Linked DNA regions of Mus musculus. The protein of the gene in region 1 purifies or fractionates together with the protein of each later gene. This does not show direct contact. Links are inferred from orthologs where the notes say so. Each region holds a gene or a part of one and is shown on either strand. Other genes may lie near its edges.

Region 1 (3,644 bases):
CCTGTCACATGACCTGACCAAGGGGCCTGCAGCTGTGAATAGATTCTGTTTTGCTAATGTTTTCCAGACACCTTTTCTTGTTCACCCAGTGTGGGTTTTCCCCCTCCCCCTTTTGCACTGTTATGCCTGGGCTCTGAGATCTACAATAGTTACTAGGCATGTTTCAGGGAACCCCAACTAAGAATGAGTGTCTCTTCAGACACTACTCCCAAAACTTTCAATGGCTGGATAAAGAAAATCAAGCTTGCATTTCATGCAGTGCTTAGAATTAAAGTTTGTATTGAAGAGATGGAGGCTGAGTTCAGTGGTGTAATCCCAGCAATCAGGAGGCTGAGGCAGGAGGACAGCAATTTTGAGACTGCTTGGGCTGCACTATTAGACTAAACAACAAACAAAAATCCCACTACACCTAACGGGAAACAATGTTTCAATAGGAAAGGAAGACTGGGCTCAGTTACAAGTTGTCCTGATTTCTAGGCAGGGCCTCACCTCCACGTAAGTCCTCTGCCAGGCCTCCAGGATGGCGGCTGCCCTGTCTTCATTCCAGTTGATGTGAGAGACATAGTCGTAGCCCCTGAAGTGTTCATACATTTGCTTGGGAGTCATTAACTGGAACATGGTTTGCAGGGCGTGAGCGCTGTCAAGGTGAATGGACAGAAGGAAGGTCAGCACAGCGGCCAAGCAGTGTGTGCAATGTGAAGTCCCAAGCAAGCATCCCCAGTTTTCCCTCAGACTTCTTCCCTCCTCTGTGTGCACATGTTTCCATTCAAACAAGACCAGGATGGTTATTGTATTTAATAGATTGATGTACCATATTAAAGGTGTAACCTTACAAACCTTTTACAGATAGACCCCAAAATTAAATTAATAAGCAATTTCCTTTCTCAGTTCCTATTCCATGAAACAGGAAGGAGAGGGGAGTAGATAGCTTGACCAGATACACTGGGTTCAGCCACACACTCTCTGTGTGCAGAAATCCCAGAGACAGTGTCCCGAGGGAGAAACCTCAGACGAAACACCTGACACTTGACTGACTGGAATCCTGGCTGCACAGAGGCCAACTCTTGCCTTGCTTGCTGTTCCTGGTCTTTGACTCTTAACAGTGCGTGACACAGATCAGCTCCTACCCCTCAACTCATTGTACACTAATACTGGATTTTCTTATCCCATTAGTCTATGTAAGGGCAGACCTTCCAAAACCTTGAAATCAACAGCTACTGCTCTGATGAAAACTACAAATCCATTCTAGAAAACCTTGCCCACAAGATCTCTTTGCAAGCTGGTCTGGTGTGCTAATGTTCCCCAAGGTTCAATGAACTGGACAGCTAGCTAAGATTTACATGAGTCCAAAGGCCTGTGTACAAGAAAAGGGGCACAGGCTAGAGTGGGGGGTACTCTGCTGGATTACCTGACAAGTTTTCCAGTGGCATTCTTGACGGTACCACCCACAATCAACTCCTCCTGCCAATGCATATACTTCCTGGATAAACCTTGACATCCACCATTCAAAACAAGGGCCACATCAAGAGGCTGTAATGAAAAGACAGTCACATAATTATGGGAATTAGTAGGCAGGTCACATGCCTCGTTAAGATCCAGTGCGTTAAGGGCTTGTTTGTTTCAGAGAAAACATTAATAGCAAGACTAATGAGGGTTATGCTAAATCTTACAGCAAAACTCAGCTCTGTGAACAACCTTAGTTCCATACACCAAATTAAAAAGGAACAAAAGTCACTGCCAAACGAAATCTTCAGGATGAAAATCATAGAGAGAACTGTAAGTGAAAACAGAAAAGCACCCCCCCCGAAACTCACTTTGGTTGAATTTTTGTTAGGGGCTGTGGCAGGGCAATCTGGGTCGGCTGGGTTGAGGCAAGGCCGGTCCATGTACCCATGGCCAACTTCGGCTTTATTCAGCATTTCCTCCCAGCTGTCCACTTGGTAGTTTATTTTCTTTAACTCTTCTAGGAATTCCAAGGGGTCAAAGTTTGTCCACCGTAAAGGAGGCTTACCTCTGCGAAAGAAATTAGAGGTGAGGCCATGAAAAATGTGGCTCAGACAGGCAGGAGGGCACATGGCTGCATTTGCACAACACAGGCTTATTAAAGCAAAACTCTGGGGCCTGAGTATAAAGGAAAGGAGAAAATATAAAAGTTCTTTCCCAGTAAAGCCACTGGCAAACTTAAGTCAGGAAAAGAATCCATGGCTGAGGATGGCAAGCAGGGTTTGCAAATTAAGGGAACCAACAGACAATCTTAATCCCCTGATATAGTATTTGATACCTTTAAAAAAAATTAGCTGGTGGGGGGAGGGATGGGTTCTTCTGAGCTCCAAAGTGAAAAACCGAAAGAATGAATTACAATATTACCTGCCTGCTTAAAAACTGCTTTTTAAATGTGACCAATCCAAGTATTTGATCTGCTAACTTTAACAATCATTCTTACGAGGTCCCTCTCACAGGTTGCCAGTGGGGTGGGCAAGCGCCCCCCCCCCCCCGGGACTCTACCATCACCACTATTACAGCCACTCCTAACCCCCCACTCACTTTGGAAACTGGGCTGTTGACAGACCAGAAAGGCTTTTGGCTGCCTGTTATGTGGTTCAAACCGTACTGTAGCTGCTTAACCAGGCTGAAGTCATTATTCAGAGTCTCCCAACCAGAAAACACAAAACCCCTTATTTCCCATCTAAAACTGTACACTGAAGGTCAGGGGATGGCCACTGCAAATTGCTTTTGCAGATATGTGCGGGCCAGGACGGAAACAATAACCCAAGCACTAACTCTCGCATAATTAGCTGAAGAAAGTCTACACCGAGTAACCATCATTCTTTAAATGGTGTGGTGTATGCAATTCCTAACTGCTGAGCTACGAAGCATCCCTTATCACGGCCTTTATAGACAGCGCATTTCCCCGCTTAAACATCATTACCATGATCCAAAGTAGGGTCCATATTTTTCTCTGCAGGAATATCTTGAACCTTAGCTGAAGTATTTCCTTGTGACAAGAACCCAGTAATAAATTATCTTCTTAAATGTCTGAGTGTTGGTCTGCATAACTACGAGCATTTTATAAAGAGTTTTTAAAAAATTGTACAGACTGTGCAATGATTTGCATTTTATTTGCATATAAATAGGTTGGTAAAAGTGAATGAAATCTAATGATGCCTACAGAACTGTTTCTGAAAAGAGGAAAAAAACATTCTGCTGAAATCCCCTCCCCCCCCACCATTCACTCAAAAAAATGCGCATGGAATTTCAATGTTTTTATTTCTTGTCCAAAACTGAAACAGAATAAACAATGATAAGCCACACCGGAAACTGTCACTGAGTCCAGCGGCTGGACACTGAGGGTGCACTTACAGGAGGTATGCTGTCCCGGACTGTAGCTTTGCCCCTTCCCAGAAGCAGTCCAAAGGTGTAATGATTAAGCAAGGGTAAAGGTATTCTATTATCTGTCAAAGCAAAAAACAATAGGGGTGCTTTAGGCTCACACTCGCTGCTCGGGTTGTTTCCAGAAATTTTGAACACTTTCCCCTCTCTGCAAACAAGAAAAGAATGTACCTGATCCATGTAACCTGTCTCCGTGATAAGTTCCCCTGATTTGTAGCACAAATGTTCCAACTTCCATTGCCTATTGGGATGGA
Region 2 (4,311 bases), about 37 Mb from region 1:
TGCAAGGATTACATCAGAGAAAGCCTGACACAGATACTCTTCTGCAGGCGCACATCCAGATGTTTCCATCGGGCTTGGAGAGGGATTATCAACCTTAAAAAAGAGAGGCTCCGTGAAACAGGCTACATTAAGGGAAGGAAAGCCAGTATCTGTATCCGCAATTCAGTACAGCATGCTCAATAAATGTAACTCATTTCACTAATAAAGGGAAAGCATTTCAGACTCTTTCCCCCAATTTCTTCTTGGGAAATGATTAACACTAGGCTGGAGTGATAGTTATAGCTGTAAAGGAACATCTGCTGCTTTTGCCAAGGGCTGGAATCCAGTTTCTCTTCAGGAACCAGGACTCAACCTTAGCTCCAGGCTATCTGACGTCCTCTTCCAGCCTCCTTGGGCCCTGCGCTCATGTGCAAACCCACATCCCACTCATGAAAAACAAATCGTACACATAAACAGCAAAAACTAACAAACAGAGCCAGGCATGGTGATCCAGGCCTTTAATCCCAGCCCCTGGGAGGCAGATCTCTGTGAGATGAAGCCAGCCTGGTCTCCATAGCAAACTACAAGGCAGCAAGATCTGGTCTCATAAAAAAAGAAACTCCGATTTAGATTAAGGCAGTTTAAAAGTAGGAAAAACTAGGCTGGCAAGCCTGGTAAGGGTGCCTGTTGCCAAGCCTAACAACTGAGTTCAATCCCTAGAACCCGCAAGGTGGAAGAACTGACTCAAAAGTTGTCTTCCAACCTCTCTAACTGTGTCCTCACACACAAAATACAAAAGAGAAGATGGGAGCTGGAGAGACGGCTCAGCAATTAAAGAGCCCTCGATCTCCAGGAGGGACAGAATTCAGATCCTAGCGACCACACTGGGTGGCTCACAAACGCCTGCAACGCCGGCTCCAGCTCCAAAGAACTCTGTCTCTTCAGGCCTAACATACACACAATTGGGCACAGACACACAAAAAAGTACTCTCAATACTAGTAGGTAAAGCAAGTCAAAGGAACAGATAATAAAGTCATTTATCCATCAGCTCAGCCCCACGTGAACTTGATTCAAAAGAATGCTAAGCCAGCAATCTTTATTCAGGTGTATCCAAGCCCCTGATTACAGAGAGCCCAGGCTAGCCTTAAACTTGCAATCTTCCTGCCTTAGCAGAAGTGCTCAAATCACAAACATGCACCAATCATCACACCTAGTAGTAAAATCTGGTGCCTTCGACGTGTATGCTTTTTTTGTTGTTGCATTTTTCTCTTTTGCATTTTAATACTCAAGGACTGAACCCAGGGCCTCCTAATATGCTGAACACAATCTAACAGGCTACAAACTCAGGCAAACTTCATTTTTAGGCTTAAATGCTAACCCATCATTCCATCATTATCATCTTTTTTTGTTTTCAAATACGGAGTTTCACTATATGTAGCTCTGGCTAGACTGGACCTTGTTACAGAGACTCAGAGCCCCACCTGCCTCTGGCCAGACAGAATACTGGGATTCTACCAAGCACCTTATTTTATTAATTAATCTCATTTCTCTGCCTGAAATCTTTTTAAAAATAGTTTTTGAATATACCATCCCAGCATTGGAGGTGGAAATCTCAAGTTCAAGGACAGCATGAGCTACAGAGACACAGAAAAGAAAATGATTTATGCCCACATCCGTGTCCCAGGCCAGCCAGGAGTACATAGTGAGTGAGACTCTGGTGTCTACATAAAACAAAAAGCCCCACCATATTTATCTGCCACCATTTGACGCAGGGTGCTAATACTCACCCCAGAGTCGTTAATGCATGTAAAATGTTTTTGCTAGCCACTCAATAATAAGTAATATATTTAAATGCTGTCATGTGCATCAACGTGAAATGAAGTCAGAGAGAAGAAACAAACTTTTAAAAAATGCAAGTTTACCAAAATAGGTTCAGGAGAAAGCTTCTCTTCTCTAACATGTTCAAGTTCAGGTTCAGGCTCAGGCTCAGCAAGTTCCACCTCTGGTTCACACACAGGCACCTTCTCTACAGGTTTTGGTAGGGCTTTAACAGTACCTTTTCCAGTACCTAGCGTTTTTGCTTCCTGTGGATGAAAGGGAGAGAACAGAATGTTTTCCCAAGGGTGACAGCTAGAAGATGGGCCTTTTCAGGTTAATTGGGCTAGGGAGATCGGTACCCTTTTCAGGGCGATAGTTACCCTTTTCAGAGGCACTCTTGCCTGTAGCTCTTCGCTGACTTTATTACCAATGTCTCCAAGAGCAGTTCTCGGTCTCAGCCCGGGCTTGGAAGCAGCAGTAACTGTCACAGGCACACGCTTGGCGCCTGCCATACTGACCTTGGCCTTATTTTCTGCGTTAATTTTCGTGTTCTGAAAGAAGTAAAAGAACAACTTGAAAAGGGTCCACGGCAGCAAGCAGGCAGCCCCGAGGAAGTCACGGGTTAATTAAGGCGGGACCTAACTAAGGAAAGCAAGGGTGGTAGGATCTAGCCTCCAGCCGTGACAAGCAAGTTTCCACCCAAATCTTTCACCTTTAATCCAGTTTCCCCTTAAGTCCTAAGCCACCCTAAACATGGTGAATTTACATCGGAAAGGATGCCATAAAAGCCTCCGTCGTAGACAGCTCTCCGGGAAGGCGAAGAATTCACCCTGGGCCTTCACCATTAAGAGCACAGCACCCACTCCCCACAAGTCCTGCAGCCCAGATAGGTCCAGAGGTCTTTTTCACCCTCCATAAGGTGGGTCCTCAGCTCCCCGGCCTCGCCGGAGCCCTCCCGGATCCCCCTCCCGCTCCGGGATCCCGCGGTCTTCTCCCGCCGCGATCACCGCAGCGCCTGGCCCGACTCACCCTAGTGACCCTGAGCGCCATGGCTCCTCCAAAATCAGAGGTTCCCCGATTCGAGAAGACACCCTAACCTCTGGCTATCCACAGCTAAACACTAACAGCCGTTCCTCCGCAGCACGCCGGGAGGAGTCTGCCGGGCTTAGGTTTAAACCCCGGGCCGCTCGCTCCTCATTGGCCAGTTCGTGGCACTCGCTCTCTTCCCATTGGCGCCGCGGGTTCCCGTAGAATGCGTTTCCTGGGCGATCCCGCGATCCCAAGTTCGGCGGGGGTGGGGCGGGGGCGGGGCCAGAGCGAGGCTGCCGCTGGCAGCACCGCCCACCCCTCGCGAGGTCAGGCTCTATGCCTGCGCACAAGTCGCATTGCTGCCACCTGCCTTAGGTAGGCATGGCGTGCAGTGCTCACTTGTGTGCTGTCCAAGCTAGCCCAGGCGACTCCGTTGGACTTTAGGAAAATGACTGTGGGGAGTACGCATATCAGTTTTGCTGTTGTCCTATTTATTGTTTCTCATCCTCTTCTATAGAAGTGCCAATACTATCTTAAGAGTTCCCGAAAGCTTTGTTGCAGAGACGGTCTTTAATATGACTGTTCCAACAGCTATCTGGGATGGATTTTGAGGTTGATAGCATGAAGTTTTAGCACACATACACATAGTAAATGTTTTTTGTTTTGTTTTTGCTTTTTGTTTTTTCGAGACAGGGTTTCTCTGTATAGGCCTGGCTGTCCTGAAACTCACTCTGTATACCAGGCTGGCCTCGAACTCAGAAATCCACCTGCCTCTGCCTCCCAAGTGCTGGGATTAAAGGCGTGTGCCACCACCGCCCAGCTGTAAATGGTTATTATAAGCAAATAGATTAACATACCAAGCTCCCCAATAGCGACTGCCCCAGTGATAAAAGAAAATGTGCCTTATGCTTAATTTTGCTCTAAGTTTAAGATTACTCCAAAAATATAGTTTTGTAAAATCTTATTTAACAAAGATCTCTATTGCAACTCTCTATCTTTCTATGTCAAACTCCTTATTAAGGCTTATTAACTTCAGTGAAATTTTCCACATTAATTTTCAGTAACACTAACGCGGATTTATTTATTGACCAGGATCTCTTGTAGCACAGGTTGTTGGCATTCCTTCTATGCTCCGCCCAACAGTTACCTAGCAACAGCCAGGTAGGCCTGGCTTGCTATAAAAAGGACTGTTTGGCCTCTCCCTCTCTCTCTGACTCTGCCCTCTTTTCTCTCTCTGTCCCTTTTCTCCCTCTCTCCCTTCTCCCTCTCTTCACAGGTTCCTGGCCAGCTTCTTTTCTTCTTTTTCTCCTTCTCCCTCCCCCCATCTTTTCTCCTCTCTCTCTTTCTCTCTCCCACCCCCCCTTCTCGTCCCTTCTCTTTCTCTGTCTCTATTCACTTCTCACCTTCCTTTCCCATGCCCCCAAGTAAGCTGTTCTATGGTAGACCCGTCATATGGCTGGTACCTGGGGTGAGGAGTGGAAGCC
Region 3 (3,644 bases), on another chromosome or scaffold:
GCTGACTCAGGTGGTTCCAACTGTGACACACCCAGCCAGCCCTGCCACCCTGAGGACATAGGGCCAGGACCTCCCTGTGAGCTCTGAGGAGGGTTCAAATGATGCGACACAACCACTGTTCTAAGGGGGCACAGCCAGAGGCCCAGGCAGGCTGGCCCAGCAGAGCCCAGCAAAGACTGAGTATGGTCACATGGTGGAGAGGCCAGGATACTCACCCACGGCCCAGACAGCCTAGTCTCCGATTGACGTCCCTCTGCAACAAACCTTCCAGCAGGGATCGGAGTTCAGGGGAGAAGGAGTCAGGCAGCTCTACAGCCTTTCAGGACAAAGAGGAGGAGTCAACAGAAGCCAGGAAGAGAGCCTGGCTCCGGGGGAGGGTTAGAGGCCAGCAGAAGGAGATGAGGCCCAGCTTCCCACTGGTCCTCAGCCAGTGTGAGCTCTGACAGCACAGGCAAGGCAAGAGGCTACAGGGCGGCAGCCCAGCCCTCAGGTACAGAGACGGGAGAGCCGGCAGAGAGAACCAGGAGTTTATGCTTCTGGCACCACGTAGGCCTCACTGCCACCGTTATACTTACCATCGTCAACGTCATGCGGTCAATCTCATGCTTGTCTTTGGTCTTGTGCTGCCGGAAGGGGCTGTGTCTGGACAAGAGGCAAAGAGCAAGGATGGGAAAAGTGAGGTGGACTGGTGGGCAGGGCTAGTGAGCGCTGAGGGAGGCTCCACCTCTTAACACCCAGGCTTTACAGGGCTCTCCTCCCCGCTTCCTATCTGGATTGCCCGTCTGGGCTAGCCTACTCACCCCCGCAACAACTTGAAGAGCATGCAGCCCAGGGAGAACCAGTCTGCACTGCTGTCATAGGCCACGCCCTTCTGTAGGACTTCGGGGGCCATGTACCCGTGTGTGCCCCTGTGGGAGCACAGGCTATAAGCGAAGTGGAGGAAGGTTGGGAATGGAGGGAATGGCTAGGCACTTACACACTGGCATGAGGCCTCTTCTTGGAGAAGTCACAGGCTAGGCCCAGGTCCGAGATTCTCACATGGCCATGTTCATCCAGGAGAATGTTGGCTGGCTGTGAAGGAAGCCCAGAGAGCTCACCAGGAGGCCAGCTTGGACCCTCACTGGAGGGAACTACATGGTTTTGGGACAAGGCCCCAGGTAGGGCATTCCGCCTCTCCCCTCCCCCCGCCCCATTCCCGCTCACTGCTCACCCCTCCATCACAACTGAACTCAGAAAGAGGCTAAGCTGGCCATGCTGCAGGCCTAGAGGCAGGAGGCAGGTGGCAGCAGCCCCTCACCTTCAGGTCCCTGTAGACTACAAAGCGATTGTGCATGTGTTCAAGGCCCAGGATGATCTCAGCGGCGTAGAAGCGCATGTCGGCTTCAGAGAAGACTCCATGCTGAGACAGGTGGTAGTGCAGGTCCCCACCTGAGGGGTAGCCCCCAGGTAAGACTCAGCTTCCTGCCCAGGTCCAGCCCTAGGTCCACCCCCTAGGGCCGAGCTCACCGTTCATGAGGTCCAGGATGAAGCTGAGCTTGTCTGGTGTGTGGAATGCATATGACATGCACACGATGAAGGGGCAGTCCTAGGATGGAGGGGAAGGTGAGTGAGGGAAGGCTGGCCGAGGCTGGGGTCAGAGGTCACTACGGAGGCCCGCTTGGCCACCCAACTCACCCCGGTGCTGACGAGGGAAAGCATGATCCGCTCGTTCAGAGCCAGGGTCTCTCCCTGCTTCATCTTGATGCGTTTCTTGTCCAGACACTTCATGGCGTACCTATGATGGAGGAGTAGGTCAGCAGTGTCAGCGAGCCCTGCAGGGGAGAGCCCCAGCTGCTTCAGCAGGCTGCTGCTGCAGACCAGATGCAAGACAAACCACGTGACACAACCAGTGCTTTAGAGAGCGCAGGAGGTGCCGGCAAGTGAGTCTCCGAGGAGCCCGAGGGAGACAGGACAGCCAGAGCGAAACAGGGAGGAGGGGACAGGGGCAGGAGTCACTTGTAGGCAGAGACTCAGGGATGGCAAGCTTGGGACACTGATCCCCGGAACAGTTCTTTAAAAGGTCCCAGTCCCTCATGGTACCTCGAGAAGCCTGACTCCTCCCTCGGGCACCCCACCCAGTGCCAGCTGATCAGGGTGCTCACATCTTGCCTGTGTCTGCTTTCCGGCACCCATAGACCTCACCGAAGCCCCCACGCCCGATGATTCGATGCACACTGAAGTCATTCATGGTCAGCTGCAGAGTGGTAACAGCCAGGGTCACTGCCTCCCCAGCCCCACAGCAGAGGCATGTGGGCAGCAGGGACAGGCCCTGCTACCGGGGTCTCCTACTCCTGTGATCTAGACACACACTCACCGTTCTCCAGCCTCTCCTACTGGGATCCCAGCACTGGCCCTCCTCCCCCCAGAGTCACCTTTGTGGGGCCGACGGCAAAGCCCTGGCCACTGCATTTCCCCAGGGTCCCCTGGCATGCCAGCTCCCTGAACCCACTCACGTGGATGTTGAGCTCAACATTCTTCCACTGGCAGAACCGTGTGAACTTGTCACTGGGGAAGAAGGAGAAGACACACTCAAGCAAGCATCAAGGCACTGGGCCGTCATCAGAGTCCGATCCACCCACTGCCCTTCCAGGGTCCTGACACGTGGACATAGAGACCTCCTGAGCCTATGGTTAGCTCAGGCCAACAAGCCTCTGCAGCCTGAACCATGTTGTCCTGCTGCAATCAGAGAAATGCTCGCCAGTCAGACCTCCACCAGGGTACAGCACCTGCTGCTCACTCACATTCCCAGTGATGTCACCTACTCAGCCCGCTGTACCTCCCATGGCTGGGTGGCGGTGACTGAAAGAGCTGTTCCTAGCGTTCTGCCTAGACACTGGTGGTTCTCACCACAGAGGGAAGCGTGTACTTCAGGTACAGCCCTGCTAGACCCTGACACTCCATAGCACAGGGAGATACAGGGTGGGAGAAGAGGACGTTGGATCTATGTGACCTCTCAAGAGTCCCTGTGATGGGACAGAGACAGACCCCACACCTGGCTGCTCAGAGCCAGGGCAGGCTGCTTCTCCTACTTACCTCTCTATGAACTTCTGGAACACGTCCCCTCGGAGGTTCTGACAAATCTCCTCAATGTATGGCTGTGGGGAGAGAGCTGGGAATTGGTGACTAAGTCTGCGGTGCCCCAGGCTCCAGGGCCCCAGCTGACTTAAGGCGGGAGGGCCTGATCTGGGCAGAATGGGGGCAAGAGGAGAAGCACCCAGCACGAACCTGGAAGAGATCTGGAGGCACCTGCTTCTTCACCAGGTGGCCCTGGACATGCTCCGTAGCATTCTTTGAAAAGGGCTGGAGAGGACAGAGGTGGCTGTGAATCTTATATAAGGCTCTTTCTTTCCTTCTAATCCCACGTTGCTGGGATCAACACATGAGTTCACACCCCACAGGACTCTTACATGTGAGCAGGCCAGCAGTTCTTTCATAATATAGGAGTCAAAGATCTCTCGGCTGCGGACCACACGTTCCTCCTCTGTCTCCAGCTTCTCATATTTCTTGATCTGGTAGAAGGAATACCTATAGATGATTGTCTGTGGCCACGGCATGAAGCTAGATGCCAGGGGCCTCAGACACAGCAAGGTGCTTACGCACCTTTA

Evidence for each region.
Region 2: the proteins of Ptch1 (region 1) and Ccnb1 purify together in Homo sapiens (affinity purification with western blotting; 3 studies listed by BioGRID and IntAct, with this or other methods). This does not show direct contact. The link is inferred for Mus musculus from reciprocal best matches to the Homo sapiens genes PTCH1 and CCNB1.
Region 3: the proteins of Ptch1 (region 1) and Grk2 purify together in Homo sapiens (affinity purification with western blotting; 3 studies listed by BioGRID and IntAct, with this or other methods). This does not show direct contact. The link is inferred for Mus musculus from reciprocal best matches to the Homo sapiens genes PTCH1 and GRK2.

Annotation. Positions count from the first base shown.
Region 1 is NC_000079.6:63,541,676-63,545,319, forward strand, and holds part of Ptch1 (protein patched homolog 1), read right to left. Parts: intron 3,632-3,644; coding exon 3,562-3,631; intron 3,453-3,561; coding exon 3,361-3,452; intron 2,014-3,360; coding exon 1,815-2,013; intron 1,531-1,814; coding exon 1,409-1,530; intron 638-1,408; coding exon 490-637; intron 1-489.
Region 2 is NC_000079.6:100,783,555-100,787,865, forward strand, and holds the start of Ccnb1 (G2/mitotic-specific cyclin-B1), read right to left. Parts: upstream 2,933-4,311; 5' UTR 2,849-2,932; coding exon 2,828-2,848; intron 2,350-2,827; coding exon 2,179-2,349; intron 2,065-2,178; coding exon 1,903-2,064; intron 94-1,902; coding exon 1-93. UniProt on the Homo sapiens protein: Essential for the control of the cell cycle at the G2/M (mitosis) transition.
Region 3 is NC_000085.6:4,289,098-4,292,741, forward strand, and holds part of Grk2 (beta-adrenergic receptor kinase 1), read right to left. Parts: intron 3,549-3,644; coding exon 3,447-3,548; intron 3,340-3,446; coding exon 3,265-3,339; intron 3,135-3,264; coding exon 3,073-3,134; intron 2,545-3,072; coding exon 2,493-2,544; intron 2,234-2,492; coding exon 2,142-2,233; intron 1,775-2,141; coding exon 1,675-1,774; intron 1,586-1,674; coding exon 1,507-1,585; intron 1,429-1,506; coding exon 1,298-1,428; intron 1,072-1,297; coding exon 977-1,071; intron 909-976; coding exon 801-908; intron 643-800; coding exon 576-642; intron 317-575; coding exon 216-316; intron 1-215. UniProt on the Homo sapiens protein: Specifically phosphorylates the agonist-occupied form of the beta-adrenergic and closely related receptors, probably inducing a desensitization of them. Key regulator of LPAR1 signaling.